4 linked regions of the Drosophila melanogaster genome follow. The protein of the gene in region 4 interacts with the protein of the main gene of each other region in a pairwise test. Each region holds a gene or a part of one and is shown on either strand. Other genes may lie near its edges. The genes, in order: sala, Pglym87, Nup62 and CG10750.

Region 1 (8,300 bases), 7.8 Mb from region 4:
TCGATGCATTGGCAATGTATATATATATATATATATATATATATATAAGGAAATGTTTCTATCTTAAGAAATGTTTTTTTTATTTTGTGTCTGTAACATTGTAGACGCAAGGATATATAAGAGGCGTTGACCATTGATAGTCGATCTCCGAGAAGAATAAACATTAAATGGGGCGGTGGGGCAGTTTTGCTCTGTATTCCTTGTGTACGCTCATATCTTAACGGTTTTCGTTTATTTTCATATATACCCACATATATACACCAGAATGGTGTGGGGCAGAAAGTGTGTGAGGGGGTAGTGGTGCTATATGTGGGTGGTGTGGTCTTGGCCGGGCTATGAGTATATATGATTTTTATTGTTATTGTTTTGTCCTTTTATGATGTTGCACGTATCGCAGTAACTTTGCCCGAATGCTCGTGTGTACGTGTATCTTGCGAGTCCTGGCTATATCCCTGCCACATAAATACAAACATACTTGCTGGCACGTACATATATAAATAGAAGAAAAATCGAAGGGAAAACGAGAAAAATGAAACAATAACAAAGCGTGCAGTCTCGAATAAGCCACCCATTCCACCCACCCAGAAACTTCGAACTCCCCATTCGGTTATAATTGGGTGGCATTGAGGGTGCTGCCGCCGGACTCGGTATTTCACCACCGAAAATCGCTTGCTTTCTTTTCGCTTGTTCCCCCTCTTTTGTTGACTTAAGCGAAATGTGCTTGTGTGCGTGCATGTGGGTGCGCTCTAAGGGCTGTTTACCCCCGCGATCGCCCCCATTTCCGTTGTGTTTGTGGTTGTAATTTGAAGCCAGCGACAACCGAGCCTTGTTGGGTTTTTTCCTTCAAAAATGAGGGTGTATGGCACGTTATGGATTTATGATATATATACACATAACTTTATGCAATAAGCGCAGGTTCAAAAAGCCTTCCTGTGGTTGGCTGAAATTTGTTGGTTGCACTTCCGATTGGCTGGGAATATCAAGCAAATTCATAATTCCAGCGGTCACTTTCATAATTCCCCACCCCAAATGGCGTCGTCGCACATTGCGTATGCGCAATGTTAACCAAGGGTTAGAGAAAGGGAAACTTTGGCTGGACTCTAGGTGAGGTCATCCCATTTTCCACTTTCATCTAGTTATCTGATCCATAAGAGGGGACATAATATTTCCCGTCCTATTTCCTGGTACTCCCATTTCATTTTTATTGCTTCACTTCGCCTCGGCTTGATATGTTTCCTTTCTTCCTCCTGCTGACTGTCCTGCATCCCCATTGCTGTTATTGGTTTCCACTTTTTTATTCCCTTTGAACTGGACACGGCTACATTCTGCCCTTTCCCTTCACATGTGAGCGACTTTTTGTATTAAATTCCCTCCTTTTTGCCATCTTTTTTATTTGACGAGGCTTCAGTGAGTTTTTCAGTGTGCTTCTGAAAAAAAAGTAGATTTATTATAGATATTTTATAGTACGGACCGAGTTGTTCAGAGATGAAGAAAGCGAAGAAGAAAGAATATTGTGAAAGTACCGGCACTGAACTTTTGATTTGGTGCCATTTGTAAGGGATGCGAATACAAATCTTTAATCTAAAATTGGAGTTTAGAGTTTTTACTACTATCTATAAAAGCAAGAATAAAAAATTCCCTAATAAATATTAAGCAATATTTTTGCACAGCTTTTTTAAAATATAATTACAACATTTTTAAAAGATTTAAATTTCTATAATCTTCATCCTTTTATATGACAGTGTATTGGGGACCCAATTCGCACCTCTCAGGTGAGTGGAATATTTTTATGCCATTTTTATTTGTCGGACAGTTTCTTCTTGCCTCTCATGGCATTTTTATTCCGCTCTTATTTTTTGCAAATTTTTTTTTCACATTTTTATGGCGCAAATTGCCAGAAGAAAAAGAAGTAGCAAGAAAAGTGAGCGACGCAAAAACAAATTCCCGCAAACTAAATGTGTTTGTGGTGTTTGATAGCGTCAGCAATGTTGCCGCTTGGGTGGTTCACCCTTTGGCCACCACCCACTTTGAGCCGCCCCGCTATTCCGGGCCACTTTTTCGTTCTCCTTCGAGGAAAAGCGCGAGCGAGTGGGAGAAAGCAGCAGCAGCAGCAGCAGGTGAAGTAAATGGCAATAAAGGAGAAAAATTAATTTTATCCTTTCCATTTCCGTTGTTGCGCGCATCAGTGTGTGTGCGGTTTTCCTTCTCACTCTTTCCTTGGCCGTGTGGGTGGCAGTTTTTCCCGCACATTTTTTTTAGTTTTCTTCAGCTTTTGCATTATTTTAACGTGTGCTCTTTTTTCCCACCCTCACCTCGACTCTATTTTTTTTCCTTCGTTATAAATCTTGAGGTTGAGCACTCGACTGGACGCCATTTTTTATTTTTCACCTTCAGCCCCCACCCACCTGAACCCCACCCTTTACCATTCCCTCCCCATTCCCCCTTTTAGTCGGACGTCGCTTATTTTTCAATTCTGTCAGCTGCTTTGGTCAGAAAATGTCGCTTGGGAGCGGTCGACGGCATCCTTTTCTCCGATTGCAAAAGTTGAGATGGGATGTGTGGGGTATATATGCTTGTATGCTATCTGCAAAATAATTTATAGATGCCTCAACCAAAATGGACAGAGTAAAGGGTTCCGTTTCCTTATTTACTTTTTTATTGAGACTCCGTTTTTTTTTTCATTTTAGATACTGAAATTCAAGAAGGCACGTTGTATAGTGGATCTCAAGGGGGTTTTAGATAAAGAATCACTTTTACAAATCAATTCTGGACATTAGATACAATAGAGACTTCAGAAACAAGCAAGTGTTTCTTAAGAATTTACGGTAGAGAACTATAGCATTACATTCCTTTAATTTTGTCATGGGTATTCTCATATTTGTACTAATGTCTATGATGTCCATGATGTTCGTGGTGTCCATGGTGCTCATGATGTTCACGGTGATGATCGCCATGATGTTCCGGATATTCATGAGGATTTTCGTGAAAATGACCGGACTCAACTGGATTAGTTCCATGGAAATGGCCAGATCCCACAGGACTTCCGTAACCAGGCTGATATTGGTTTGGAGAACCTTGTCCAGCGAATCCTCCTTGACCCGGGTGGACTCCGCCTTGACCAATTCCCACCTGGCCACCAACTCCACCCTGTCCAGTGAATCCTATTTGTCCACCAAAACCTGCTTGCCCGCCGATTCCTCCGAATCCTCCAAATCCTCCTTGCCCTCCATATCCTCCTTGTCCAACTTGGCCGAATCCATTCTGAGCGTTCACAGCGGTCACCAGTGCAAACAGAGCAATCTATAGTTATAAATTTGTTATTATAAAAATATTTCTAAGTTAGTTAAGATTTCTATAGTAGAAGACGCACCAGTAGTTTCATCGTGGCTGAAGTTTCGGTACTGAGGCGGCTCTAATATTTTTTTGATTTTTATACCACGATTTGGTAATATCAAGTAGGTAGCTGAAAGGTATTCTACCTGGCTGAGGGACTTAAGTTTGAGTCTCTACCTGTAAAAGGAAATCACAGAAAAGTATTGCCGTCAACATCTGGTTACGATGGAAAATAAAATAAACCAGTTTATTGGAAGAGGGAAAATGGAAAAACAGAAAAATCCGGAATTGAATAGAATACTAATACTAATTCAGTACCATATTGAAATGACGGAAATATAAAGGAGTTTTTAAATTATTTGTTTATTTATATTTATTTATTTGATATTTGAAAAGTTTTTATCAACATAACATTACTCGATTTTTTTGATCAGGAAAATCCGGATAATATAAAATCATTAATAAGACATTACTCAGATACAAGATATAACATAGTGACTTTACCTTTTTTGAAACATTTTCTACTGTTGTCTAAATATCAATGATTTCGTATTTATTTTTTCCAGGTATTTCATCAGTAGGAACTTCGCCACCGGGAATTGGAGATTGGAAGCTGCCATGCTGATCGTCGTTTGAGGTTTCGTTGTGAGGTCTTTCGGTACCAGGAAATCCACTTTGAGGTGGACCGCCTCCTGGGCAACCGCAATGCGGACACCCTCCTGCTGGAGATCCAGATGGTGGGGGGTGGTGTGAAGAAGGAGGCGGAGGTGGCGGAGGAGGATATCCCTGCCAATGGTGGCCACCATACAGATATCCCCCTGGTGGTGGATAATGGGGCGGTGGTGGAGGTGGACCGTATCCCTCCCAAAAGTGACTTCCATGTCGATGGGGGCGATGAGGCGGTGGTGGAAAAGGCTGGTGCTGGTGTCCGTGTCCACAGCGTCCACCAGCACCATGTCTGCCACGATGGTGATGATGGTGACGAGGGGGAGGTGGACCTCCGTGTGGGTGATGTCCTCCTCCAGAAAATCGCCGACAGCCCATCTGATCGAGTCTCAGATGAATTTAGAGCAACGATCTGAAAAGATGTATGACTAATATTTTTGAGAACAAGATGCATTTGAATCTTTTTATATGCAAAAATTATTATATATGTTTATACGTCCGTTGTACATACATATGGTAAGCTGATAAGAATATTTTCTATGTATATATTCATTGACTTACATTTTTTCCTATTTCTATCTTAATGGAAACAATATACAGTAAATAAATGTTTGTTTTGCAACTGGTTTATTTTAGCGTACTTATTAATACGTCATTTATTTGTTGCTTTTAATAGCTAAAACAAGTTAGAATTCGATTTGTTGACGCAGTGGCCGAATTCATTGATATATATAAGTCTGGATATTTTTTTCTCTATCAATAAATATTTTAAAGAATAATTCCTAATACAAGTAAAGGCAAAAAGAAAAACCAGCGCACAATTAATTGCTTTGAATTTTGTTGTTTTGAACACAAGAATTGGATCAGCTGCTTAAATGTTATTTACAATTTAGAGTGGCATTGTATTTGGTTGCCAAAAAATAATATATAGGTTTATTTTTGGAAGAGTTGTTTGTTGATAACATATCGCCGCCAAAAATACTACAAGTTCAAATGCTTATGAGATTAAAAGTAAATTCGGAGGTGAAAAGCAACCATTTAAATAAGCAATATTGTTAAACTTTAAAACTGTGAAAATTATATTTGATTATCTAATTACATTTTCAATCTATCTCTTTATTTGTGGAGTCTAGTGATAACCAAAGAATTAAACAACTAAATCGTCTTAATTTCCGAGAAGCTGCTTAGCTATTATTATGCCTACGCTTGCCTTAAGTATTTATCCTTGAGTAAGGAAATCCTTCTGGGCGGAAAGAAAATCCAGCGGCATAAAGTTATGTGCCCAGGGCCAAAATTTTAATTCCAAATTTAATTTTCAGCCATTTTCCTCATTTTCCCCGGATGAATTTGTCAGGGCGTGTCGCATTCGGAAACCACTCGCCGGGGAATGAAGTGGAGACAAAGACATCTCGGGAAAAGGAAACATTTTTTGGCTTATGCCAAAATTACATCAAAAAGCGCTGCGGGTATGTAGGTATGTAGACAGACGTGGCAATTCCCATCTTAGGATTGAGTAAAGTGGCAAAAGGACGAGGGGCAGGCTGGAGCTGAAGGATTGCTGAGCCTTGGAAGTGGCAGGGAGTGAATGTCGTGAAGATATGCCAGGACCCTTGGAGAAAAGTTGAGCGGACCGAGGAACAGGGTTTGGTGATTGCTATCTTCATAATGACTTTGAAGTGTCAAACAATTTTGGGGAATTATCAACGCCCGCCTCGTCTTTCGCAAAGGTGAAAATGAAAATTGTACTTTTTGTTTGACTCAAACTTGATGGGGCCAAACTGAAGATATAATTATAATTTAATTGAAATGAAATTGTCGCTTAAGTCGAGTAGAAAAGGAATGGTATTGCGGCATTGGTAGACTCCAGGGGTAAAGCTCTCAACTTAATATTTTGCTGGCTAAAAATTTGGGCAGATGCGAAATACTCTTGGCTGAGCTGTAAAAGTGAGTCAATAAAATACACAACTATTTGCGCACCAATTTAATATGCCACATAGGCAAGTTAAAGGAGTTCGCCCAGCTCAAGTTTTCCGAGGGATGCGACAAAATACATTGGGTTGACAGAAGCCCATGAAGGGCCAAAAAGAAAAGCACACCGAGTTTCTGAACAGGTCCGAACAATGTCCGAGGAAAATCAATTTAATTTTTACTCATGTTCATGGCGTGACCCCTCGATAATCCATGGAAAAGGGGACGAGGTCGTCCTGCTGCTGAGCCGCCTGAGGTGGAAATTTCACTTAAGTCACTTTCAACTTTCGCAAGATGCCATCAAAGTTGGCTCCAAAGTTACTGGTCAGTTGATTTTTCCACCTCCTGGGGCGGCGGCCATTACCACCGATATTTACATTTTACCCAACCCACGGGGAAAACCTTTTCTCGAACACGATCTCCCCCAGCGCTCTCCAAACTTATGAAAAGTTTCGGTGAATTTGCGATAATGCTTTTTTTGGCTGGTGGTATATACATTTAACTTCAGCGCACGTGTGTCAGCTTTTCATCATATACTCTTCACAATTTTCAAACCGTGAAGTGCTTTTTCATGAGACCAGAAGAAATGAGTAAAGTTTTTTTTTAAAATAATTTTTTATATATTTTTTATCCCAAGAGCTTCAAGTTCTATTATAATGCCCAAAAATGTAACGTATGTTTAAGTTAGTTCATATACGAATATGCTCCTAAAGCATATATTTATGGTGTTGTCGTATGTACAACAATGTATGTGCATATGAAAAGGTTTTGTGAAAAACAATTCTGGTACCCACTGTGTGCCGCTAAGGGAAAACAAAATGGCATACTTGTACTGTATGGAAGATGATGATGAAATTGGAAAATCTGACCGAGACAGGATACCGAAAGGGGTGTGAACGTCGGGTGGCTGCCACTTACATGACATGACAATAACTTTGACTTGACCATTCGACCGTTGCTCATATCTGAGTATCCTTCCCAGCTGCCCACCACTCCATATTCAGATCCTTCTGCATGTTTGTTTGTGCTGGTGCTGGGTTGATGGCGAGCAGACAGGGAGGATGGGATGAGTGCAGACAGGCAAGGATGTGTGGTGCACAGGTACACACGCTCACTCGCACACTCACGTAATGCTCTTTTTTGGCTCCAATGCGATGGCTGAACAAAGAGAAATATTTATGCGTTGACCAACTTGACCAACTCGGACTCCATTGCCATTTCCAATTCAACCTCCGGCGGTCCTTGAAAGCCAAAAATTCCGAATTCAAATCCAATTCGAAATCAAAGCCCGGCCAAGGAAGAAATTCCCAGAAGGGGTTGAGCCCCCCAACTGCAAGCGTAGTCATTGCTGTTTATGATGAAAAATGTCCAAAATTACTTTGCCAGCTTCAGTACACTGAAAGAATTCCTATATTTTTAAGGATATTCCTGACTATAACTCCTTACTAAATACAGATATCAATCAACTTACATATAATAAAAACATGTTGGAAAAATAAGGACATAATATTTTGTTTTGTGTACGTTCTAGTATCCATACGATGTAAGTGTGTTTGCAGACACATGATGACCTTTTGGGCACGGCATCGAAAGGGTCAGTCCGAGACAACTCCACTCGAGTTTTACGTTAATATTTAATATTGCGAATAGTTGATTGAAACATTTAGAATTTTCCATGACGGGCGCCAGCAGCTTCGGAACAACAAATTGCTCATCTCTGCATATTCCAGTACGAGTGCTCGATGTCCCATTTCTTTAGTTGGCTGCCTGTGATTTTATTTGGCCATTGCAAATTGAATTGGGAATAATTTAGTAGCTGAATATCACACGGGAAATGCACACAAAACTATTTTTGTGATTTTCGATTGTTAAATGGATATCGCTAGTCCAACTGGGGAATGTAAAAATAGAAATTTCCTCTAAGCACCGCTTACATTTACAAATAATTTCGAAGCAAATTGATTACCATTTTTCAGGGAAGCTAAGCATTCTTTATTGAAAGAAATTAAAATCCCCCATGTTACCTTTATTAAGAGACGGGCGGACAAACAGCTGGAAGTCCTGCTATTGCAGTCACCCAGCAGAAGGACATAACGATAATTAATAGAATTTGTTCGGGGAATACGTAATGAGACATCGACTGGGGGACTTGATGTCCTGCAGACAGGAGAGCGATTCGATTTTTATTATTTTTCGATTTGAAACGCATTCATTCGGATTTTGTTGTTTTATTATTAACATTTTCATCTGGACTCCGCCATTGGTATTTTCCCTCCAAGTTTTTTTTTTTTGGTTTTCTTCTTTTTTTCCAATTCGTTTAGACAAACAAACTT
Region 2 (7,557 bases), on a different chromosome or scaffold from region 4:
TGCGCTCGAGCATTGGCAAATTAAACAGATTCTTATTTGCAAATCAGATAAGAGATCATGCCAGGGAACAGCGACCAGATACGAATTCTCAGTCGCCCAGATAGACAGATACCGATATGGGGATTCGGCTAGAGCTGCCTTAATATTTATCGGTCGCGTGAGCGTGTTACCTAATTGATGACAACAGGTAGGCGCTTCTGTCAAGCCCAGTATTATGATGGCATCGAAGGATCGCATCCCGGCTAGCTTATGATAACCAGACACGCAAAGCGACAACTGGGCAGCACGGAGCGGAGCAGCAGGTGGGATCTCCTCGACTACTGTTTGAATCCGAATTTTTGAAAATGGTATATATTACATAGATCTGGCCAATGTTTATCTTTAAATATATGTATTAAATTGAATTACATTAATGTACAAAAAGGAAAGTATTTTTGTTAAGTGTACATGAGCACATATGTGTTATTTGTAGGAGATATTTGGGAAAGGTCACACCGATTCAGCCCACATTACATTTCAAGATCACCGGAATTTAAATGTTTACATTGCCAAATAAATGATAAGGCTGTTCTGCATGGAGATGTATAAAATGGATGGGTTGCAGTGGAATGCAATTCATTTCCAACAGTTGAATCGTGATCGTATTTTGAAATGGTAGTACTACAGCTTTTCTGCATGTTGTTGATCCTTCGCCAAGGACTAGCTGACGTGGTAACCTCGACCACCGAATCACCCACTAGGATAAATGGAGGACAGCGCGTGAACGAGACGGTGCCCTTCCAGGTGTCCTTGCAAATGCAGCGACGTGGACGCTGGCAGCACTTTTGTGGAGGATCCATTGTGAGCGGTCAGCACGTCCTTACGGCGGCCCACTGTATGGAGAAGATGAAGGTCGAGGACGTTAGCGTGGTCGTGGGGACGCTTAACTGGAAGGCCGGTGGACTACGTCACCGGTTGGTGACCAAGCACGTCCATCCCCAGTACTCGATGAATCCTCGCATTATCAATGACATTGCCCTGGTCAAGGTTACTCCGCCGTTCCGCCTGGAGCGATCCGATATCAGTACAATTCTAATCGGTGGCTCGGATCGCATTGGCGAGAAGGTTCCGGTACGCCTCACCGGCTGGGGATCCACCAGTCCATCCACTTCCTCGGCGACTCTGCCCGATCAGCTGCAGGCTTTGAACTATCGCACCATCTCGAACGAGGATTGCAATCAAAAGGGATTTCGGGTGACTCGGAACGAGATCTGCGCACTGGCTGTCCAGGGTCAAGGGGCATGTGTGGTGAGTAAACAAAAAGTAATATCACGCTAAGCGGAATTAATCATGCTTTCCCAAACTTAGGGCGACTCTGGTGGACCCTTGATTAGGCCCGGTAAGCAGCCGCACTTGGTGGGAATTGTCTCCTACGGATCATCCACCTGTGCCCAGGGCAGACCCGACGTCTACACGCGGGTGTCCAGTTTTCTGCCCTACATCAGTCAGGTGATCAACCAAGACTTGGCCCAATAAATACCGACCTGTAGCGCATAAATAAACCGAGTCTCTGCCCGAACTTGACTAAATTCCTCGAAGTCTTGCGTTCTTGGTCACATCCCCCCACTTTCTACGCTTTGGCGACTAATTAAAAATCTTGTTCAATATTCGCCACAGCCAGAGGGAGGGTGGAGGAGTTCGGCAGTCCGGGTGTGGCGTCCACAGAGTCGCCTTGCCATCTTCGTGGTCTAGGCTTGGCCCGACTCCAGCGAAAACTTGGGCTGCCGCCTGCCAGGGCGACCATGATAAATGCAAAAAGCAATTTATCGCGCATTTAACTCAATTCAGTTTCTTTATGGCAGCGGGATGTGGATGCGAGCTTGAGGATGTGGAGACGTGGGGATGTGGAGCCGGAGCGCTTGGTCGACGGAGCCTGCCACAAAGTTTCGCTGACACGCACACTGTTCTGCGAACTCTGGACTCCTCTCCAAAGACCGGGCCTTGTAATTCGATATTAGATTTTATGCGCGACAAAAACGAAGTGCAAACATTTTTATGTTCCCGCCGTTTCTATGCTGCAATTGGTATACCAATTTGACGGGGCGCCGACTTTGACTTTAACTTTAACTTCGGTCTGGGCTCCACTGCGTCTGTGTAATTAGGTTCAAATAATGTGGAGCTCAGCCTCTTCGCGCCACACTAGTCAGCAAGATATTGTAGTTCGCACAGCCCTCATGGAAGGATGATCCTGCAGAGGACCCAAGTTTGCCAGCAGAGTGCCCGTCTCCTAGCTCGTTTCACGCTCTCAATTTACTGGATCAAAGCTCGCCACGCTCGGCGAGCCTAACATGGAAAATCTGGCCCCAAATTAACTCCCATATGGTAGACGGCTAGCAACGGGTCAAATGCTCAGAAGACTAAACCTAAACACCAAAACTCCAACCACCTACCTATCCATCTCAACGCATCTCATTCGGAGGGAATCTGAGTCTCGCTGGGCACCGCGCTCAGCATATAAATTCATTTAGATCAATCAATTCAATTTGTTTGTCAATAAGCCCTAAATGAGTATTTCATTTAAACAAATTAAAATTCGACCCGTTCGGAATGCCAGAGGCTGCTCAGACTCATCCCGCAGCAATTAAAATTGACGCGACACACTCGATTCCCTGATTTCTTAAACGAGCGCAATGGAAACACATATAAATACGGCTGGACTTTGGCTCAGACCCAGACCCAGACCCACATCCAGACCCAGACCCTGGGACCCAGAACCGTCGCCTGAGTTCCAGAGACCAAGACCAAGACCAAGACCAAGAGACCAACGGCCAGCCAGCCCATCGTTGTTGACTCTTCATTGTCAATTAAAATCAAATAAATTTATTTGCTTCTTGACATTCGCCTGGCCACAGTGAGCACCACTTTCGATTCGCCGCTTTTGTTTGGCATACAAGTGCATTGAGCTGATTGCTCTGACCTTCTTCGGAGGCTGCTGGGTATACCCAAAATCACGGATCACTTGGCTTTGCCCTGGTTGGCCACCGACTCCATTGCCTTCTTCACCGTCTCCGGATCGCCGAGGAACTTCAACGTGGCCAAAGGCTTGAGGCTCTCGTCTAGTTCGTAGACGAAAGGAATGCCAGTGGGCAGGTTGAGGCTCATAATGTCCTTGTCAGAGATGCATTCCAAGTGCTTGACCACGCCCCGCAGGCTGTTGCCGTGGGCGGCGATCAGGACACGCATTCCATCCTTGATCTGGGGCACTATGACCTCGTTCCAGTAGGGCAAGGTGCGCTCGATGGTGAGCTTGAGGGACTCGGATTTGGGGAACTCCTCCGGCTTCAGTTGGTCCTTGTAGCGCGGATCCTCAACAATGCAGGCGTAGTACTCGTGATCCTTCTCCATTGGCGGCGGTGGGGTGTCAAAGCTGCGGCGCCAGATCTTAACCTTCTCCTCGCCGAACTTCTTGGCGGTCTCGGCCTTATTCAGTCCCGTCAGTCCGCCGTAGTGGCGCTCGTTGAGGCGCCACGTGGTGCACACCGGAATCTTCTTGTGCTCGCTGGACTTTAGGGCGGCCCTGAGTGTCTCCTGGGCTCTGGTCAGCACCGAGGTGTGGGCCACATCGAACTCAATTTTGGCATCTTTGAGCGCTTTGCCAGCGGCACAGGCCTCCTGCTGCCCCTTCTCCGATAGCTTGGCATCGAACCATCCGCAGAATAGGTTCTTCTGATTCCATTCGGACTCTCCATGACGAACCATCACAATCCTGTACTTGCCCTTCTTCTCGGCCTGCTTTCCGCCGGATGATGACTTCGAGAACGGGCAGCGGGCTTCGATGTTCGCCACGCGACACAGCAATTGGCCACACCACGAATTCCTGGCCAGAGCCAACATTTTGGGACACTTTGAATTTGGAAAGTGTTTGCAGTCTATATCGTGTTCATTTCGAATGGATTTTCTATTAAAAGTGCCGGGTTGAACCTATGACAGTAAGAAAAGTTCGTTGAAATAAGGTTACTTTGAGGTTTTTATTTCATGCATTCTAACAGTATGGAAATATTCTTTAATGATTATATTCTACGTTTCACTGCTAGTAATGGTTGCTCAGCCAGCTTCATAGTGGTATTGTCTATAAACCTAAGGTCCTTGTACAAAAAGGTGGTACTCAGCATATAATTTCGTAATATTTTAGCTAGAGCTAGCTTTGCAGATATCAGCGAGAGTTTCCAACCTAAGTACATAATATATTATAATAGTGTAAAGGAATTATAAGAAAGTTACCCACCTAAGCATGTTTTCTTCCCCTTCGAAAAAGGTAAATAGGAATAAGGTGGCCTTGCTCGCTTATTTTCAGGCAGAAAGTTATCGGGATTAAATGCATTAGCCTGTGGTCCCCAGATATCCTTATTACGATGAGTGTGAAAAATGTCTATCATTAAGGTTACGCCTTCTGGAATATAAAATCCGTTTGATAGTTGAATAGAATGGGAAGTTTGCCTTATCAGTAATGGAACGGCCGGTATTAAACGCATAGTCTCATGCAAAACTCGATCCAGCTTCACTAATTTCTCCAGATCCGCATGACTGGCTTCGAATTCTCCTCCTGAAGGAAACACCTCTGCTAGCTCCTCAAATACATTATCCTGGTATTTAGGAAACATTGCCATCAGGATAAGCACATTGTTGACTGTTATAGATAAAGTATCGGATGCGGCAAATATGATATTAGAAAATTCCCCCATTACGTCGTCATAAGAAAGTTCTCCGATTCTCACAAGATTGAGAATGCGGTCAATTAGTGCCGGTTCTGAGCTATTATCTGTGCTACTCAGCTTTTTGTCTATTATCTGAAAATATGCATATGTTTAGAAGGAAATCTCTGACTTCTGAGTTATAAGTACGTCTTTGATGAATGCATTTGACTGCGTTGCGGCCTCTAGTCGTCGTTTTTCATAGCTAAATAGCTTTCCAAGATACTTGTTCCTGAGCCAAGGCATTACAACACCAATGGGTATTAGGTTGTTAAGGCTATAAAATAAATAGAGTATAAATAAATCTACTAATATAAGATAGAAATAATCATACGCCTTGTAGCTTTCCAAAAGATTTCCGTTCTGGTAGTTCGCTTGATTTCTCACTTCATCACCCATAGTAATTTCTTAAATTATAGAGTTAATAAAATAAGAATATAGCAACCTATTTACTTACGAGCGGCTATTTTGAATGACCATTTATTGAGTTCTGGAAGTAAGTTTATATCTCCCCCATCGACAAATTCCGCGAGTAAGGTCACCAGGAAATTGGCTTCATTGTTTAAAACTGGCACAAAACTTAGAACAGCATTATTCTTAAACGATGGTAACAAAAGTTTTCGTCGTTCATTCCAATGATTATCTATACTTACAATTGATTGTCAATTAAGAAACAAGAAATTATAAGAATTTTTCACTTACTCTTTAGGGTCAGAAGGCCCAGTCCTAAACATGATGAAATGGCCTTGTCCACCACAGAACTCCTGTTGCTGCAATTGGGAGACGTGAAAATGTCCTCAAGGATCTTAGGTTCACAGGTCACCAGGACGGGAGTTAAGCCAATCCAAGTCAATACCGTTTTTCCATATATTTTAAATAAAATGGTACGCAGGCGTATCTTACCTGTGTAAAAACGTTTTTAGTTTTACCTAATTAAATTCGAAAATATAATTACTTACGTTTTAGGCGAATGTACTCAAAGGCAAGTCCGATAAACGGAAAGCCCATTGGTCCTGGTAACTTTAGCATCATAATATAAAATCTTCTTCGACTCCATAGAAAGTATACACATAAAATGATTGCAAATGCCTCAAAAATTTGCAGCGTAAGCATTTCAATCTGCGATTTGGGTGAACGGTCTTGAATGAATATTTGGGAATTCGGACGAGCTTTATATAGGTGAAACATGCATAGCATTTAATTGCTCTAGAATATTTTTAACTCGCCCTTTCATAAATGTGCCAATTCCACTTTGACCTTTTGCACATTTATAAAAAATAAATTCCTATTTTTCATATACTTACTTTGAGATTGCTTTGAAGCCTTGCCGGTGTAAGGCTTGCTTTGAAAAAAGTAGTGTTTGTCTTGTAGTTTCTAAGTATCTTGGCCAAGAAGATCTCGGGTGAAACAAATCAATACTTACAAGTTTTAAAAACAATCATAATCAAAACTACCAAACCGTTTTATTTGTGATGGCTGTATAAAAAGAATTCTTAAAGCCAATATAATAGAATTTTCAAAATAAGAAAGTTATGTTATAAAGTTCGTCGTTCGAATGCCAGTTGTGGTGACTGAGCAAGCTTTATGACCATGTGGTCAACGAATTCCAGATTTTCGTAGGGAAAGCTGGTTTTTAGCTTGTAGTTTCTGAGTATCTTGACTAAAGCTAGTTTCGAAGACATCAGTCCATATCGCCAGCCTGATACAAATAAAAAATGTTGTATTAAAACCTTACTTATACTTATACTTAGTATTTTCCAAGGCTAACCGACCTATGCAATTTCTCTTTCCCTTTGAAAATGGAATGAAGGCGTATGGATGCCTGTCGTGGATTTTTTCCGGCAGAAAGTTTTCGGGATTGAACTGCGCTGCTTCTGAGCCCCAATAATCAGTGTTGCGTTGAGTGTTAAATATGTCTATGCTGATAGTCATTCCCTTGGGGATGACAACTCCATTTGATAGCCGCAAGTCCTCCAGTGTCTCCCTCGAGCTGAACGGAACGGATGGCATCAATCGCAGGGTTTCATTCAAAACGCGATCTAAATAAACCAATTGTTGAAGATCGGTGTGGGTAACCTCGATTCCTTTGGCCAAAGGGAAGTGCTCCTTAATCTCATTGAAGACCATTTCCTGATGTTCAGGAAACATGGCCAGCAAAACGAGGGCATAATACACTGTGTGGGCGCTTGTCTCGAAAGCAGCGAGAACCATACTGCTGCATTCGGCACCTAACTCCATTAAGGACATTTCGTCATTACGAAAAAGTTCAATCGCCCTGTGTATAACAGTCTTTAGTTCTGACTCGCAATAATTTTCTGGGTTTGAATTTAGCTTTTTGTCCAGAATCTAAATAGGAAAGTTACAAAAATGTAAATCTTCAATTTGCAATCTCAACTCACGTTGTTTATCATTTTATTAATGGCAGAAGCGTCTCTTCTTCGCAGCCATTCAAGTCCGAAGAGTTTGGAAACAATTTTATTTTGCACAAAGGGCACGAAAATATTTATGATGGTCAGTCGCAACATCCTAAGAAATATGGGTATCTATAACCTTTATAAAAGAACAAACTATATGGGATTCGCTTACGACTGATAGGTTTTTAATATTGCGTCGTTTTCGAAATTATCATCTTTCGTAACATCGGTTCCCAATGTGGTTTCTGTGGACAGTCAAAATTTAATTCATCCCAAAATTGAAATGATTTCTTTACTTACGAGTAGCTATGGCAAATGACCATCTTATGAGGTCTGAAAGGACATCTTTTTCACCTTGACCAACAAAGGAGTCAAAAACGCTAACCAGTAAATCCGTTTCAGCATTGAAAATG
Region 3 (7,481 bases), on a different chromosome or scaffold from region 4:
GATGCAGGGCGCGGAATGGGGGATACTGGCATGGCGGGGAGTTGGGAGTGCGACTGCAAAGGATCTGCCACAATGTCAGGCCACTTAAGGAGCGCTGAATCGCAGCGCCTCGCTGCACAGGAACTCAAGGATATTGGAAGTGGGCGGAAAATGGGCGGGGAACACTCCCAGAAAATGCAGCGATTCTTAGACAAACTTCAATCCTTGGAACTTGATTAGCTATTATTACTTAAGGCAAACGATTAAAAAAGCTTCTGCGTAAAGGATTAGTAGAAAGATATAAAAGAATCCCATATTCTGTTAATCTGAAATCAACAGATTCTGAAATGAAAAATATTCATATTTCAGATAGCTTACTTCAAAATAACTAAAAAGAATAGCCTAAATGGTTTAAAAAGCATATAATACATTCAAGAATAGTGTATGCTTTTTAAATAATTCACAATCTTTTGAGGAAATACCAACAACCCAACTTCGCGCTGCTTAAAATTAATGATAAGTATGTTTAATATTTATAGAAAATTATTTGCTAGTGTATCGCCGCCTGGATGGCGCAACAATAATGCTGGACCCTTTGAAATGACAAAAATTGGTTGCTCTCCGTGCGGCTTGACGCCTGACTTGGCAGGAGACACTCGAGGGCACCACAAATGCCAAGCCGTCACCCACCCAGGCACCCAACTAAACACCCACTGCTCCTACAAGCAACGTCCTCCCCCCGCGAAGGACGCGTCTTATCAACTATGCAGGGCTTTGTCTCTAAGCGATTGCAGGCGCCACCCCCCCTTTCCCTTCCAACCTGCCCCTGCCCCCTTTTGCTCCACGCAGTCAGCGTCTTTTGTTGCGCTTAATGAATTTTACGTAAATTTTACGAGCGCTGATTTCTGGCAGCAGCAGCACCACCCCAGCTATTAATCCACACTTTGGCGAGAGCACCACCCCCAGTGGATGGGTAAATTAGTGGGTGGTTGGGTGGTTAGTGGGTGGATGAGACTGGTGCTCTCCTGGTTGTGCGTGTGTAATGACAAGTTCAACAACAACTCGACATTGTCGACTGGTGACGAGGACGACGTGCTCCGACATTTGTTTGCCCAAGTTATGCAAATATTTTTCCAGTCAAGAAGTTTTTGTTTAATTGCATATTTTGACTCGCATTACGCGTGTCATAAAGCAGGGATCCGGAGCTTACCACAATGCCAGAAGTTGGGCGGGGATTAGAGGCACTCGAAAGACATGTTCCTGCATTTTACAGTTCAAAGACCAAACTAAACAATCAGTTTTACGAGTATAGATCTTATTCTGCCCAGGCTTGCCATTGAACTATAGCTATCTTCCTTAGAAATTAATTTAAATTAAATTTATATTTAAGTCTCTAAGATGATATTTTAAAAATAATTCCTAACACAGACGAAATCATGGAGAAGCCTTTAATATGGTTCATAAAACATAATTTATTTGCTGCGTTCGAAACTGTGAAGCTGACCTACTTCATTTAAAAACGAAATTAAACCGAATATATATAGTATGTATACTTCTGCTTTAGACAGTAAAAATGCATGAAGATTGTTTGCTTAATTGGTTAAACTAAATGATGGCTAAATATATTACCACCTCATTTATGGTAATCCGAATAAAACGTTTAATTTTTTTTTGGAGGAAAGCGTTGGATTCGAATTTCATTGCCTGGACAAATTTAAAAAGTTTACATTTTTGAGGCATACCTATCGCGTATACGCTTTCTTTCTTTTCCAGCCCTGACAGTTTCCGAGTATCGAGTATCGAGTATTACTTTCTATCTTTCAATGACAATGACCGGCGACTTTCTCACTTTCTTCGTACGCTTCTTACTGGCGAAACACAAGAGCCCACAAAGGATTATGACAAGTGCTGGCAACTGGATTTCCGAGGAGCTGGAACCAGCTACTCTACTGTCGATTCAGGAGGATAATGGTATTGTTACCAAGGTGTACGTGGCGCCCTGTTTGCAGCCGATAAAAGAGGAGAAAGTTTTCCTGGAGGACAACACGCAACGCTTCCACTGTCCGCTTTGCTCTAATGTGATTCGCACGGCCGGTGCCTACAAGGTCCATCTGATGGCCTGCCAAAGACGCTTGGCACGCATGATGAAGGATGTGCCGGACGTGTCCCAGCATCAGTGCAACATTTGCAAGAAAATCTTCTCCTCGGTGGATGCCCTGATCGGCCACAGGCTCCTGCATGGAAGCCCATCAATGAATCGCACCTGTGCATCCTGCCATGTCAAGTTCGGGACGGATCTGGAGTATCGCACCCATTTGGAGAGCCATCTGATACCGTGCGAGTCCACGGATGAATCCTACGAAGGGGCGTACACCATCACCAAGACCTTCAATTGCGTCTTTTGTCGCACGGAGTTCAAGGCCTGCTTTAAGCCTGGCCAAGTGACCCGTCGATACGCGTGCGACGCATGTATCGTAAGGCTGAAGGCCCAGGAGGAGGAGAAAAAGATCTTAGGGAAGAGAAGGCCCGAATTAATCTGTGATCGTTGTGGGAAAAAGTACAAATATGAGGGTTTCCTTCACCGTCATCTGAAAACTTGCCAGATGCCGGATAAATGCAAAAGAAAGCGTGAGATTGAAATCACCGAGGTCAGCGAGGTAACATTTACAGAAGTTGTGCAAAGTTTTAATAATTGATTATACAAATTCGCACATTTTAATTTTAAATTAAATAAATATATTTTTTAATTGTAATATTTTTTATAATTTTCAAATTATGGCGCCCATCCCACCGATATCTATTTCGATCTGCTATCGATGTGGTCACACTTATCGATAAATCCACCGTGGCGTGGTATTTTTGATTTAAAGCGTTAGTCGATTTCCCGCCCAGCTGCACGTGTATATTTTTTTGCGGTCCAAAGAAAAGTTCGTAAATAAACGAATTTGCGTGCATTTCCAGCGAACACGATGAGTTCAGACGAGTCCAGCGACGGTTTGGAGGAGCTGCAGAGTCTGAAGGCCCTCTACGGCCAGCAGGAGCAAGAGAAACCGGCAAAGATCAAAAGGGAACGTTATATTCCAAAGGCCTCGCAGGCCAAGGAGCTCAACTATGTGGAGGTGCCCATGGAAAAGGTGCTCTTCGGCGACAGGCAGCGACTGCTCACCAATCTAGCCAAGTCCGTGGGACAAAAGTTGCCGAACGATGACGAAGACGAGCAGGAGGAAAATCCCGGCCAGGCAAAGCCAGGCGACAAGCGGAAAGCCGCCTGGTCGGATTCCGATGACGAGGACCTGCAGGTGGGCGATGTCAAGAAGGCCACAAAGCACACGGGTCCACTGAACCACCTGCGCAAGGATAAATCGTACAAGGAGTATCTTACGGCGCGATTCCAGCGCACGCTTAACCAACCCAAGTGGGCGGAAAAGAAGGTCAAAAATGAGGACGACGAGGACGTATCCTCCGACGAAGAACTGCTGCGGACGGTTGGCTTTATCGATCGTAAAGCCCGGAACAGTGATCTGCCCCAGAAGACTCTGAATTTTAAACGGGTCAAAGACCTGAACAGGGCCACATATGCCGAGGGTAATGCCACCAGCATTCAGTTTCATCCAACCAGTACTGCTGCTCTAGTGGCGGGCATGAATGGCCTAGCCACCATCTACGCCGTGGATGGGCAAAAGAACGAAAGGTTGCACAACATGCGCTTCAAGAAGTTCCCGCTGGCGTGCTCCAGAATTGCTCCATGCGGCACAAGGGCGTTCTTTGGTTCTGTGAAACCATTCTACTACTCCTACGACTTGCTGGAAGCCAAGGAATCGAAGCTAAAGCTGCCGGGCGCAATGGAATTTATGCACCGCTTTGAGGTGTCTCCATGTGGCAAATTTATCGTCACTGCTGGCAAGTTTGGAGCCATTCACCTGCTCACGGCCAAAACAAATGAGCTGCTGCACAGCTTCAAGCAGGAGGGCAAAGTGAAGGGATTCACATGGTCTAGTGACTCCAAGAGGATCCTCGTCTGCGGTTCCACTTCCAATGTCAGCGTGCTGAACCTGCGCCAGAACCTCATCGAGCACATCTTCATGGACGACGGCTGTATACATGGAGAGTCCATTCAACTGTCTCCCAACCAACGCCTACTGGCCACCGGCAGTCAAGAGGGCGTGGTCAACATCTACGACTACGAGAGCATTTTCGCATCCAAGGCCCCACAACCCGAGAAGCGCTTCATGAACCTACGGACTGCCATCACGGATCTCCAGTTCAATCACTCATCTGAGCTACTGGCGATGTGCTCCAGTGAGGCGCCGAATGCTTTTAAGCTGGCCCATTTCCCCAGCGCCACTGTGTACTCCAATTTCCCGGCACAGAACGAGAAGGTTGGCTTTGTGACCTCCATGGCCTTTTCGCCGCACAGCAGCTTCCTGGCCTTTGCCACTAAGGGCAAACAGGTGCCGCTCTTTAGGCTTAAGTACTTCAAGGGTTATTAATTGAAGGCAGTATGATGTTTACAATAAATTCTTAAATAAAATCATTACTCTTTCTGTGGTTACAATGGAACCATCTTTATTTAAGTTAACAAATTAAGGGGACTTATCTTTAGAAAGGAGCTCGGAAAATATCGCGTTTCTGGGAGTCTTGAATCTTGCCAATGTCTTCCAGCTTCTTGCTGATGTTCGTCGACTGCGATTCGATCCACTGCAACGAATTCATATGGGCATTAAGGATTTTTCCGATCTGTATGATGGGATCAGTGGTGTCCTGGCCCTTGTTGGCCTCGTTCAAGTTGTCTATTATCTCCTTTAGATCCTCGGACATCTGCTTCAGTTGTGTGTCCAGATTCTCCACCATCAGGTAGGTTTGGCTGCGTTCCATGTCCACCCTCGGGAGATTAACGAATTCCTTCTCAAGCGGTCCCAGGCTGTCCTCAAGCTCTTTTTGCTGCGTGGCTATAAACTCCAGCTCCTGGTCCAGCACTTGCTGATCGGTTTTCACTTTTTTCACGGCATCGTTGAGCTCGACGATCTTCCCGTTGTTGCTGATGAGCAGTTTGTCCCATGCGTTGATCTGAGTGGCCTGTTCGGTGAATACCTTTTCCTGTTCCTCGAACTCGAGAGTCCACTTGTTGATATGCTCCTCAAGTTGGTGGTAGGACAATTGGGATGCCGTGGAAACGGCCGATGAGTCTGTGGTCTTGGTTTCGGTAGTGAGATTGGCAAAAGCACCACCAGTACTTAAAGTTGGGGCCGGTGCAGCTCCCTGCGTGGAGGCTATGGCCGACGGAGCTGCAGTCAGAGTTGTGGACGCAGCGGCCGTGGTCTTGGGAGCTCCCAATCCAGACCCGCCCAGCAATCCAGTTGTGGTAGCTGCGGTGTTGGGTGCACTGGTTGCTATAGTTGGCACCACAGATGCCGCTGGTTGAGCCGTAAAGCCTCCGAAGGCGGGAGGAGCAGCAGAGGTTCCAGTCGCGGTCGCAGAAGTGGTGGACGCTGGATTTGCGGCGGCTTGAGTGCCCAGCGTGAGGGGAGCTGAAGCAGTCCCGGATCCCAGGCCAAATCCAAAGGCTGGTGGAGCCTGCGCCTTGCTGTTGTCTGCATCTCCGCCACCGATACCAGCAGTAGGTGCCGGTGTTCCGAAAGAGAATGTGGTTTTTGTGGCGGGAGCCGTGGTTGCTGCTCCTGAAGCTGGTGCTGCGGCTGGTGTTCCTGTGCTGAGGCCGAAGGAAAACGACGATGTTGCGCCTCCGGTCGGGGCGGCGGTTGTTGTTGGCAACTGGAATACCATGCTTAAACTTAAGACGAATAATATAAATCTAAATCAAACGAAACACGCCAAAAGCAACCAGTGTGACCCCTCCTTGGAGTTCCGCAATGTTGTCGGTGTTGGAAATCAACTAAATTTGAGCTCAAGCTAGCTATTTTCAAGCCAAAACACTTAGCAGTTTGAAGATTGGGCGGCAAAATTAAATTTTAAATTTCTTTGAATTGGCAATACAAATGAAGTACTTTGCTCAGTCGACGATACATTTTTGTTACTAAAACATGCTGAAAACCAAAACATTTATATTATTTTAACGTTTGCAATCACTTTTTGCACTTTTAAAATATATTTATGTCTGTGTCCGTTTTTTTAACCAGCGATCAACTAACTTGCGAAATCGACAAACAACACTGGTCGAGAGCTATGTTTTAGCTCCAGTTTTAGTCGTACATGGAACAAATCATTCCGCGCAACTTAAATAAAAAAACCAACTCAGAAAGAAAACGTAGTCAATCGTACAAACAAAATCAATAACAAAACACCGGCTTTAATTAGTCATCTTTTGCTATCTGTAAGTGCAAAGGCGATAAGGTAACATTTGGGTCAAAAGAATTCAATTACAAGCCCAAAGTGCAGCGGCACTCAGTTCAGTAATTGCATTTTGCTAAATCAGCTAAACACATGTGTGCTTCCTATCAGAAGGTTCGTTCTGCGTACCTGTGTAGGTTCTCTTCAGAGCTGCCAGCCACAAAATTAGAAAAATTACCTAAGGTACAAACGTAATGCGGTACAACAATTAGAGCTTGTCTTTGACCTTCGGTTTTTTTTTTTTTTGTAATAAGATTCTTTTTAAGATTTTCATAAGATCTGAGATCTGATCCTCAAAAACAGAAATTTTAAATTATTCTTAAAAACCAGATCAAAATTTTCTAATAAAAGACCATAGTTCCTATGTTTTGTTAGTACATGTTTTCCCATCACTAGTACCGTGCTCTAGTCTACTATGCTTCCAACTATTTCCCCAACTTTGTTGACCAGTGTAGCTGGCAAGCAGCGCCAGAATTGAACAACAAAAGCATATCAGAATCAAAAGCCCCTGTTCTCGGTCTCTCCTCGATTTTCTCTATTTGCTCCCTGTGATCGCTGTGAACTTGGCGTGATAAGGGGCTCCGGCTCCTCCTGCAATCGAGAAAGCCCGCTGTTTGCGCCACCCGGCGAACACCAATCAGTCGATGGGAGTACTCCGCTGCAATAGCAATTAGCCACTAACCTTCTGTCAGCTCTTCAGGTGCCATTCCCCTACCTCCAGCTCCTCAGGTGCCCCTGCCAAACAGAGTTATCTGGAGTGCCGCCCGCTGGAGAATATAAATTCCCTGGGTGCCCAAAGGCCAGGATTCAGTCGGTGCCACTAGCTCGCCATGTACGGAACGTGGGGCGTCTTTCTGGGCGGGATTCTTCTGCTGCAGGTTCTGCAATTATCCATGGGCCTCGATAATGGCCTGGCACTAAAGTGAGTATTAAATTTTGATTGGATTCTAGGCCACTTAATTGAAATTCTGTCGATTTTAGGCCACCTATGGGCTGGATGTCCTGGGAGCGGTAAGAAATATTTACCAGCAACTAGATTAGATCATAAAGAATTATCATTACGTCTAACATTTAAAATAAATAAACTTTAATAGTTAGTAAAAATTAGGCCTTGGCATGAACTCTACACGCTACGCTGCAATAACGCTTTTGTT
Region 4 (7,586 bases):
GTAACATTAGCGCATAAAAAAGGCATTTGTAAGACATGAAAGGTACTCAGTCAAGTGAGTTGTGGGCGGCAGGTGGCATTTATCTCCGCCCACCAACTCCGATGACACATTAAAGGCAAGCAAATCGAATTCACGAATAAATGTTACCCTACAAATTAAGGGAGGTTACCAAATAACCCAAGCTGGTTTAAAATCTACTGCATTCCTTCAAGATTAATTTGATAAAGGTGACAAGAAATTTGAGTTTGAGAAAAGCTGTTTAAGTATAACTCGTTATTTCCAGAATACCTACCAGCTCAAAATATTTGCCTGTTGCTCCAATCTCCAAGTACAGCATACCCCGTGAATTGCTTGGCAACGGGGTACAAAAAAGGAAGACAAATCAATGCAGGTGTCACAAATGTCAGCCGACAGCTTTTGGATCCCTTCCCGCTTCCTTTGAGAGAGGATATTAATGTCGCCAAGTGAATTGATGATGCCGATTGTTGTTGTCCCAGGGCATAAGCCGATTTGCCATCTTATCACAGGCCCCGTCGCCCGACGACGACTCCGTCAGTAAATCCAGCTCCATCTCCGACACTCCAACGACAATTCCTATTCTGATTCCGATTCCGATTCTGACTCTGATTCCGGTTTCAATCTCTGAGGCGAGCTTTCATAAAGGGACCCCCCCCCCCTCCACCGATTGACAGGCATAATAAATCATGTGTTATAGTATTAATCAAGCTCCTTCTGGCTTCTTCGACTGGTTGCTCCTTTGACTGCTGAGCCTGCCATTGTTGTGCCGGATAATCGCTTGACATTTATTGCAGCTACCGGCAGGATGTGCTCGCATCGACTTAAAGTCCTCGCTTCAAGTTGTCCTCGCAAAGTGTCCTTTAATTGCGCCTATTTCGTCTGCTCCTTTCGGCCTGCCAGTCGTGCATTTTGCAGGCATTGTTTCTCTAATTGCTATTTGTCGCCAGTGTCCCATACAAGTGGGCAGCCATTCGTCCTCCGCCGCCCAACTTTTCTGTCTGGCCGTCACATTAAGAACTTGTAAAGTTAAATTAAGTGTTTCGTCTAGTAAGCGGGAAAAAAGCAAATGGCAGCAAAAGCGCCAAGAAGCTGCAGAACTTACGAAAAGGATAATTGCGGGGGCGGAAAGGTAGTTTTCCCTTGCTAATAGTTGTCTGCTTTTAAGAGATATATTTGTTAAATTTTAAAGGAAAGAATTGGTTAGAATTCAAATGATAGGGAAGATAAATGTATTGCATTTTGAGAGGAGGTTCAAGTTTAAATTGGAAGGAAGAAATTCAAAGGGTCTGCTCAAACTAGTTCTGCAAAATGTGTAAAAATGGGAGTCTGAAATATGCTTTGCCCCATTTCATGTGCAAATTCTACATCACATTGCAGTTTGACATTCAAAGCGCATAGTTTATCTGCAAAGTTCGAAGTAATTGGGACAACAACTGTGATAAACAATTCTAAAGCTCAATTTCGAAACTGAAAGTATTTCAAGAAATGCTCAAGCAACCCTCGCATCAGCGTGGCCTCGTTTCACCTACACCGCATTGCTGGCAATATTATTTAATTCGCAGACAGTTAATTGTAATGCAATTAAGGGATTAGCTGGGAATGCCATTAGGCTTTATTGTTCATATGAACAGGACAGAATGAATTGGTATCTGCGATGATAAAATTCGGAGAAGGCGGCGGCTGCTCATTTATCTAAAAGATTCATTTTAATGACAGGCACTTCAAAAACTCAAATCTAAGCGGGCATAGAATGCGTTACTCAATTATTTAAATTGCAGGCAACAAATCTAAAGTGTTTGCATGATTTTACTAAGAGCCAGCCCCATGCCGCCAAGCAATTTAATGTAATTGCTGTCGCACTCAAAAGTAAAATCCGAAATGTACAAAAAATGACTGCCGGGCGCTGTGGGCCAACTTGCGGGCCAACTTGTGGCCCATCCATACGGTCCATTTAAATAAACCAAATGTTTATTTTGCCGAACTACTTCGATTTCGATCGCTTCGTCTTACCATTGCTTTTTGTTTTTTATTCTTGCTCGAAATAAATGTCTGTGCATTTTAGTTTGCTTTCCGTTTGATTTGATTTTTAGGCTACGTATATCGTCGAGTGTCCTGTCGGTAGTCCTGGGAGTTTTCCTTCGGGCTGATATCAGCAAAAATCGCAAATCAAATAAAGCAAATTGAATAAGAGACAAGTGCCACGCCTCCGCTGGCGACTCAACTCAATGCCCTGGGTGGGCGTACGTGTGGGCGGTAGGTGGAGCTGGAGCGGGGGCGTGGCAACGGTTCTCGGGCACAAAAATTAGTTGGTAGTTCCATTCGAGCCAACGTTGTTGTAAATGCGAGGACAGAAATCAAAATGTTCGCATAAAAGAATTATCTGTGCTTAAGTTAGATTATCCCCGGGCCATAGAATCCAATTGGCAATTGAATGGAAAGATGTCGCAGATTCGATTTGCCAACTTTATTTTCTTGCCCATCGCTTTGTCCTTCCCTGATTTGAAGTTCGTGTGCCACTTGAAAGTTGCCCAGCCTCTGGTATCTCAGTCCTCGAATGCATTTCCTTTTTATCGGATTCCATTTGATTTTCTTTTGGGCACGGAACAACAATGCCCAACCGAATGTTGTGGGTTCTCTAGTTTTTTTTTTTTTTTTTTTTTTTTTTGGGAGGGCTGGCAAGGTTTTGGGGTTAGACAAATGTTATGGGTGCCATAAAGCTGAAGGTGGAGCGCCCATTTAAGTTCTTAGGAATGAGAGTAAATCTGAAAGGATGTAAGGCCTCTCGGTTCAAACAAAAAACCCTAAACAGTTTGGAGCTCATAAATCAAGTCGTACATTTATTCCTTCGCTACAACCCTTCTAATCTCTGATTCGGCTGAATTTTTTTTAAATATTTGCAGTAAAAATAACCCAAACGGAAATTAGTAAAAGCTATTTGAACTTCGTTCCATTAATTAAAGGATTTAAAATCATTTATTTATTTATTTATGCTCCATGAAAAATATTATATTTTCCGACTAGCACATACGTCCAGCGCCGACTTTATCGCCCTTATTGGACTCCAATTCCTGGAGGACCGATGAAAGAAGACTTATTTCGCGCATGATGAAGCTCATGATTTTGTCGATCTCATAGCTGTGGTAGCTGGGAACAATGTCTGCGGGGGTGGAGTTGGTACATCAGCTAGAGTCAAAGGATTTCAAGGACATACCTCGACGTTTGCAGAGCATGCGGTACAGGATTTGAATGCCATCAAACATGCGCTCCTTGTCCAGGTTGTAGAGCGACGTGGTGTCCTTGCAGGCACTTAGTATCTTTTCCCACTTGAGGCAAGTGGCCCGCGAGCTGACATAGGAACGATCCAAACGGGCCAGATCGTTTTTGAGGCCCAAAACGGTCAAGGCCGCCTCGCTGGTGATCTGAACCATTCGCAGGCGCATCTCCTCGATCTCGTTGAGTTTCTGGCTCTCCAGCTTATTGATCTCCACCTGGGCCAACACTGCACAACAAAAACAAATTTAGAATGGAAATTACAGGAGGTGTGGAGAACCCACTTAGAGCGTCACATCGATCGATGCAGTCTTTCGTTGAGATGAAGATGTCCGACACCTCGACTACCTCCTCCAGGACCCTCTCGTATGGCTGAAACTGAGCCACCGTGGCCTTGAGCGCATTGCGAAAGGTGCTCAGTTCGGCAATGGAGGTCTTGAACTCGTCTATCTCCTTGGTGACCTCCGCGTGGAGAACGGTCTCCTCGCGAATCGACTTATCCGCACTGCGCTTTTTGTCCGCACAATCCTTGATGAATCCATTCACCTCGACGAAGCGTTTGCGCAGGCGCTCCTGAATCTTGTACATCTTGCGAATGCGCTGCACATTTAATGCGGCTTGCCGCTTGGCATCTTTGAGTAGCTGGATCTGAACCTGCTTCATGGCGTCGTACTCCCGGAGATTGGCTATGTACAGCATCTCGATGTTATCCCCGGCCGAATCCCAATTGGGCGGTTTCCTAGACCATCCAAGTTTCATTAATAGTATGACTTACATATTGTAGTTGCTCTTTTAGCTTACACGAAGAATTGGTCCTGCTGGCGAGAGACGCGATAGTCATCGATGGCGACCTCTGGACTGAGGTCCAGATCCCCGATCACATCGGTCTTAATGGTGGGCTTACGTCGCGGCATCTTGTCCTATTAAAATATAATCTTTTCAAATATATTGATATATATTGGGGGAATATCTATTGGAGAACGATGTGTGATGAGTAATTCTACATGTATATGGGCAGACAGCACAGTCAAGGATAAAAGGATTAAACCATTTTTTATTACTACATTCAGATATTTATGCAATTGCTGACGTTTCCTTCATAAGTACGACCAGTCGTTAAATCAAGTAAAAACAATTGAAAAGATATCATAATTCTATAGTTGTTGATTAAAAATTAATCATCATCGAGTATCAAGAGTATATTAGGTTCGGCTTGCCGAAGAAGCTTCCTATTTTGTTTTTTCGAAAGAAACCAAATTGTGCAGTTACCATGACACAAAACTGGTTACACCTTCTCAACCATTGCCACGGTAATAAAAGAACCTCCTGGCAACCAATTGTTTTTATGTGTCACCCAAATAAAAAACATGTTCCAAGTAGGTCTTGTTAATTTTTATTACAAAACAATAACACACTTTGAAAAGTAAGCACACAGCACACACAACTACTACTACAAAACGCACAATCCGCGCTGTATCGCGGTAACCAAAGCAAAAAAAAATATAAAAAACTAACAAAAACGTACACTTGAGCTTTTACTTTCGGCAAAGAGATCCAAGATGCCCCGCGTGAAGCCCACCAAGAAGCTCGATGTTCTGGGAAATCTGGACCTGCGGCCGGAGGATGCCGTGGGGGACTATATCAGCTCTAAGCAGCAGAACAAATTCTTCGTGTAAGTAGTGAATCCCACACTGAAAAAAGGCTGAAAGAGAAGTACCCAATCCTAAAATGATCCTGGTAGTGCAGTTTGAGATTTTTGAGAAATTTTACAGCTTCGTAATTTACTGTTGCAAGGATGTCTCTATCTGGTATCAATTATTTGACCTATTCGTAACTTCCTGTAGAATTCCACCGAACTCGGACTCTGCCGGCGACTCCATCGAACTGATATATGTGAACAATCTCCGCGAGCACGAAGCCATGCTCAAGCTGCAGGAGGAGATGCTGACCAGTGCCAAGCGGCAGACCAAGCTGAACTCCGCCCGGGTGAGGAACATGTACAAGATCCAGGAGCGGCTGAGGCGGCGCTTCATCGAGGTGAACAGCTTCATCAAGGACTGCGCGGACAAAAAGAGAGTGGCCGAGAAGACCGCCCAAGCGGAGACGCTCAACCATAAGGAGCTCGGCGAGGGCATTGAGAGCTTCAAGGACTCGATCGGCGAACTCAAGGCCTTTCGGGAGGCTCTCAAGGCCACCGTGCAGGAGTTCCAGCCCTACGAGAAGGTGCTCGACGAGGTGGTGAAGGTATCCGACATATTCGTCTCGCCAAAGGACTGCACCGATCGCTGTGATGCGCTGAGTGAGCATTGCTAATTTATAAAATGAAATAAAGTTATTAATTTTTTTTTGTTCTACAGTGCTGGCTCAAGTGGAGATCAACAAGTTGGAGCATCAAAAGCTCCAGGACATCGAGAACATGCGGCAGCGTATGGTGCAGATCACAAATGATGCGGCTCTAACTGTGCTGGGTCTAAAGAACGATCTGGCCAAACTGGAACGATCCTACAACGAGTCCAGAGTGCAGTGCCTCAGATGGGAGAAGATCCTGGCCAAGACCAAGGACGCCATCAACAACAACTACATGGACAAGGAGCGCACAATAGATGCGATTACCAACCTTCACCGAATCCTTCTACGGCGAAGAGGTTAGTCAAAAAATCTTGCTATTATTAAATAATTTATTCATTTTATTATTTTAGATGTACATTCGTTTCCCGCTCGCGGCGACTTGGACAAGGTGTTGGATGCCATCATGGGCGAAGTGGAAATATTAACTGGCGTTGTAAAGGAAATCGAATCATCTGATCCCTCGATAAAGCACGAGGAAGCCAGAGATAAGTCGCTGTGCTAATTGGATATCAAAATTCAAAGAGTTCATAGGGAAGACTAGGCACACCTCACAGCTATTACAACTATAAAAGCTTATTAAAAGCGAAACTTTTAAAACGTTTGTTTGTTTCTATAGAAAGAAGTGCTTTGTGTGATGGTTCGCTGCTCTTAGCCTGCTCCTGCAGCTTGTGGCAATTGTTAATTGTGCTGAGCTCTGCATTCGGTTGTTAATGCCACTTTCTAATTGCTTTTACCTCATAAATCTTCTCCGCTGCTCCTCAATGCCTCCGTCCAAGTGGATGGTCCGAATTGGGGTCCTGGAGCGGCTTTCGTCGCGTCCTGCTCTGCAGTCATCATAAGTCACCGAATTGTCGGGCACTCAAGACAAATGTGACACTTGCTTATTTAATTAGAGATCTGCAGGCGGGATGGAAGGCCAGTACTTAAGCTCCAGAGTCTGTGCATCAACTGGACGACATTTAGCGCTAACTGCGCCAACTTCGCTTGACGGCTTTTTAATTACGTCAGCCCGGGAAATGTTCCTCTTACCACTGCTCTGCATGACAATTAGCCGGTCTAAAAAAAAAAACCCGCTCTCTGGTCAATTGAAAATTTTCTTGCTATTTTTCAGCAGGGAAAAACTTTTTTAATTACCACCGAAAAGAGACGGTGACAAAAAACAATAGTCGACCATTCGGCCGGCGGCTCTGATTTTCAATTATTTATTGACAGGAGTCTCGATTCGTCGTTTAACCTGTCGAACTCTTGACACGACCTCCGCTTTTTCAGCAAATGCACAAGTTGGGTTTGGGCTCAACACTTTTGCTGCAATGCAACTTTAATGCCGGCTAACTGACAGATTCAACTTCAATAATTGATGCGAAAATGCATAAAACAATTTCGATAAAACAGTTTTTAGATGTCATCGTGTTAATTATGCATATGCTAGAAAAACAATCCCTTTGACCGGCAAAATAATTGGCTTAAACATTTGAATTTGTGCTCTGCCAAAAGTTTGCACTTCTTCAGTGCGAGGAGTGGCAAAAATTAATCAGCACCACAAATTATCGGGATGACAAACGCCCTGCGGACAGAAATAAGTTTGAAAACATCCATACACATATGCGATTCAGAATATGTTTTTAATACCCCAACCCACTCGGTTTCTCTGACATCTTTATGCCATGTCGGCTTCTAGTCGTGTTTTGGTTTCCCGGTGCCCGCTGGTGACATTTCCGCTCTGCCTGGTCTTTGGGTCTTCGGGATTGGATTGCCGAAAAAAGAAGGTGTAAGAAGTCGGACGAGGTGATGTATGGAAACATTTTAATTAATGCTGACAGCTGGAAATGTCGCGGCCACCTTTTGTTGTGTAAATTTCATCGACTCGAGGCGTTGGACTCTATAATTATGATTGGATATCGTTGCACGTTCCTCGCTCCCACTTCTTTCTATTTTCAATTTGCCCCACC

What was found.
Region 1: the proteins of CG10750 (region 4) and sala interact in a two-hybrid assay, tested with the Drosophila melanogaster proteins (one large-scale study listed by BioGRID).
Region 2: the proteins of CG10750 (region 4) and Pglym87 interact in a two-hybrid assay, tested with the Drosophila melanogaster proteins (one large-scale study listed by BioGRID).
Region 3: the proteins of CG10750 (region 4) and Nup62 interact in a two-hybrid assay, tested with the Drosophila melanogaster proteins (one large-scale study listed by BioGRID).

The regions. Positions count from the first base shown.
Region 1 is NT_033779.5:11,481,292-11,489,591, reverse strand, and holds sala (spalt-adjacent), read right to left. Parts: upstream 4,886-8,300; 5' UTR 4,561-4,885; intron 4,412-4,560; 5' UTR 4,378-4,411; coding exon of another isoform or gene 3,865-4,377; 5' UTR 3,838-3,864; exon of another isoform or gene 3,809-3,837; intron 3,511-3,808; 5' UTR 3,383-3,510; coding exon 3,371-3,382; intron 3,301-3,370; coding exon 2,884-3,300; 3' UTR 2,643-2,883; downstream 1-2,642. Other genes in the region: CG43355 (uncharacterized protein), read right to left, coding at 3,865-4,377. UniProt on the Drosophila melanogaster protein: Likely to be involved in the establishment of the head.
Region 2 is NT_033777.3:12,228,805-12,236,361, forward strand, and holds Pglym87 (phosphoglyceromutase 87), read right to left. Parts: upstream 3,926-7,557; 5' UTR 3,874-3,925; coding exon 2,995-3,873; 3' UTR 2,841-2,994; downstream 1-2,840. Other genes in the region: CG3916 (uncharacterized protein), read left to right, coding at 652-1,287, 1,348-1,515; Cyp313a5 (cytochrome P450 313a5), read right to left, coding at 4,050-4,210, 4,265-4,826, 4,881-5,007, 5,065-5,137, 5,188-5,373, 5,433-5,633, 5,690-5,843; Cyp313a2 (cytochrome P450 313a2), read right to left, coding at 6,266-6,429, 6,503-7,076, 7,130-7,256, 7,317-7,389, 7,445-7,557.
Region 3 is NT_033778.4:16,342,863-16,350,343, reverse strand, and holds Nup62 (nucleoporin 62kD), read right to left. Parts: upstream 5,968-7,481; 5' UTR 5,764-5,967; coding exon 4,579-5,763; 3' UTR 4,516-4,578; downstream 1-4,515. Other genes in the region: CG15710 (uncharacterized protein), read left to right, coding at 1,878-2,675; wcd (wicked), read left to right, coding at 2,949-4,469; CG7997 (uncharacterized protein), read left to right, coding at 7,158-7,249, 7,309-7,338. UniProt on the Drosophila melanogaster protein: Essential component of the nuclear pore complex. The N-terminal is probably involved in nucleocytoplasmic transport.
Region 4 is NT_033779.5:19,296,989-19,304,574, reverse strand, and holds CG10750 (uncharacterized protein), read right to left. Parts: upstream 4,321-7,586; 5' UTR 4,203-4,320; coding exon 4,090-4,202; intron 4,028-4,089; coding exon 3,573-4,027; intron 3,518-3,572; coding exon 3,230-3,517; coding exon of another isoform or gene 3,228-3,229; intron 3,176-3,227; coding exon 3,036-3,175; 3' UTR 2,975-3,035; downstream 1-2,974. Other genes in the region: CG17564 (uncharacterized protein), read left to right, coding at 4,848-4,960, 5,133-5,587, 5,646-5,933, 5,988-6,139.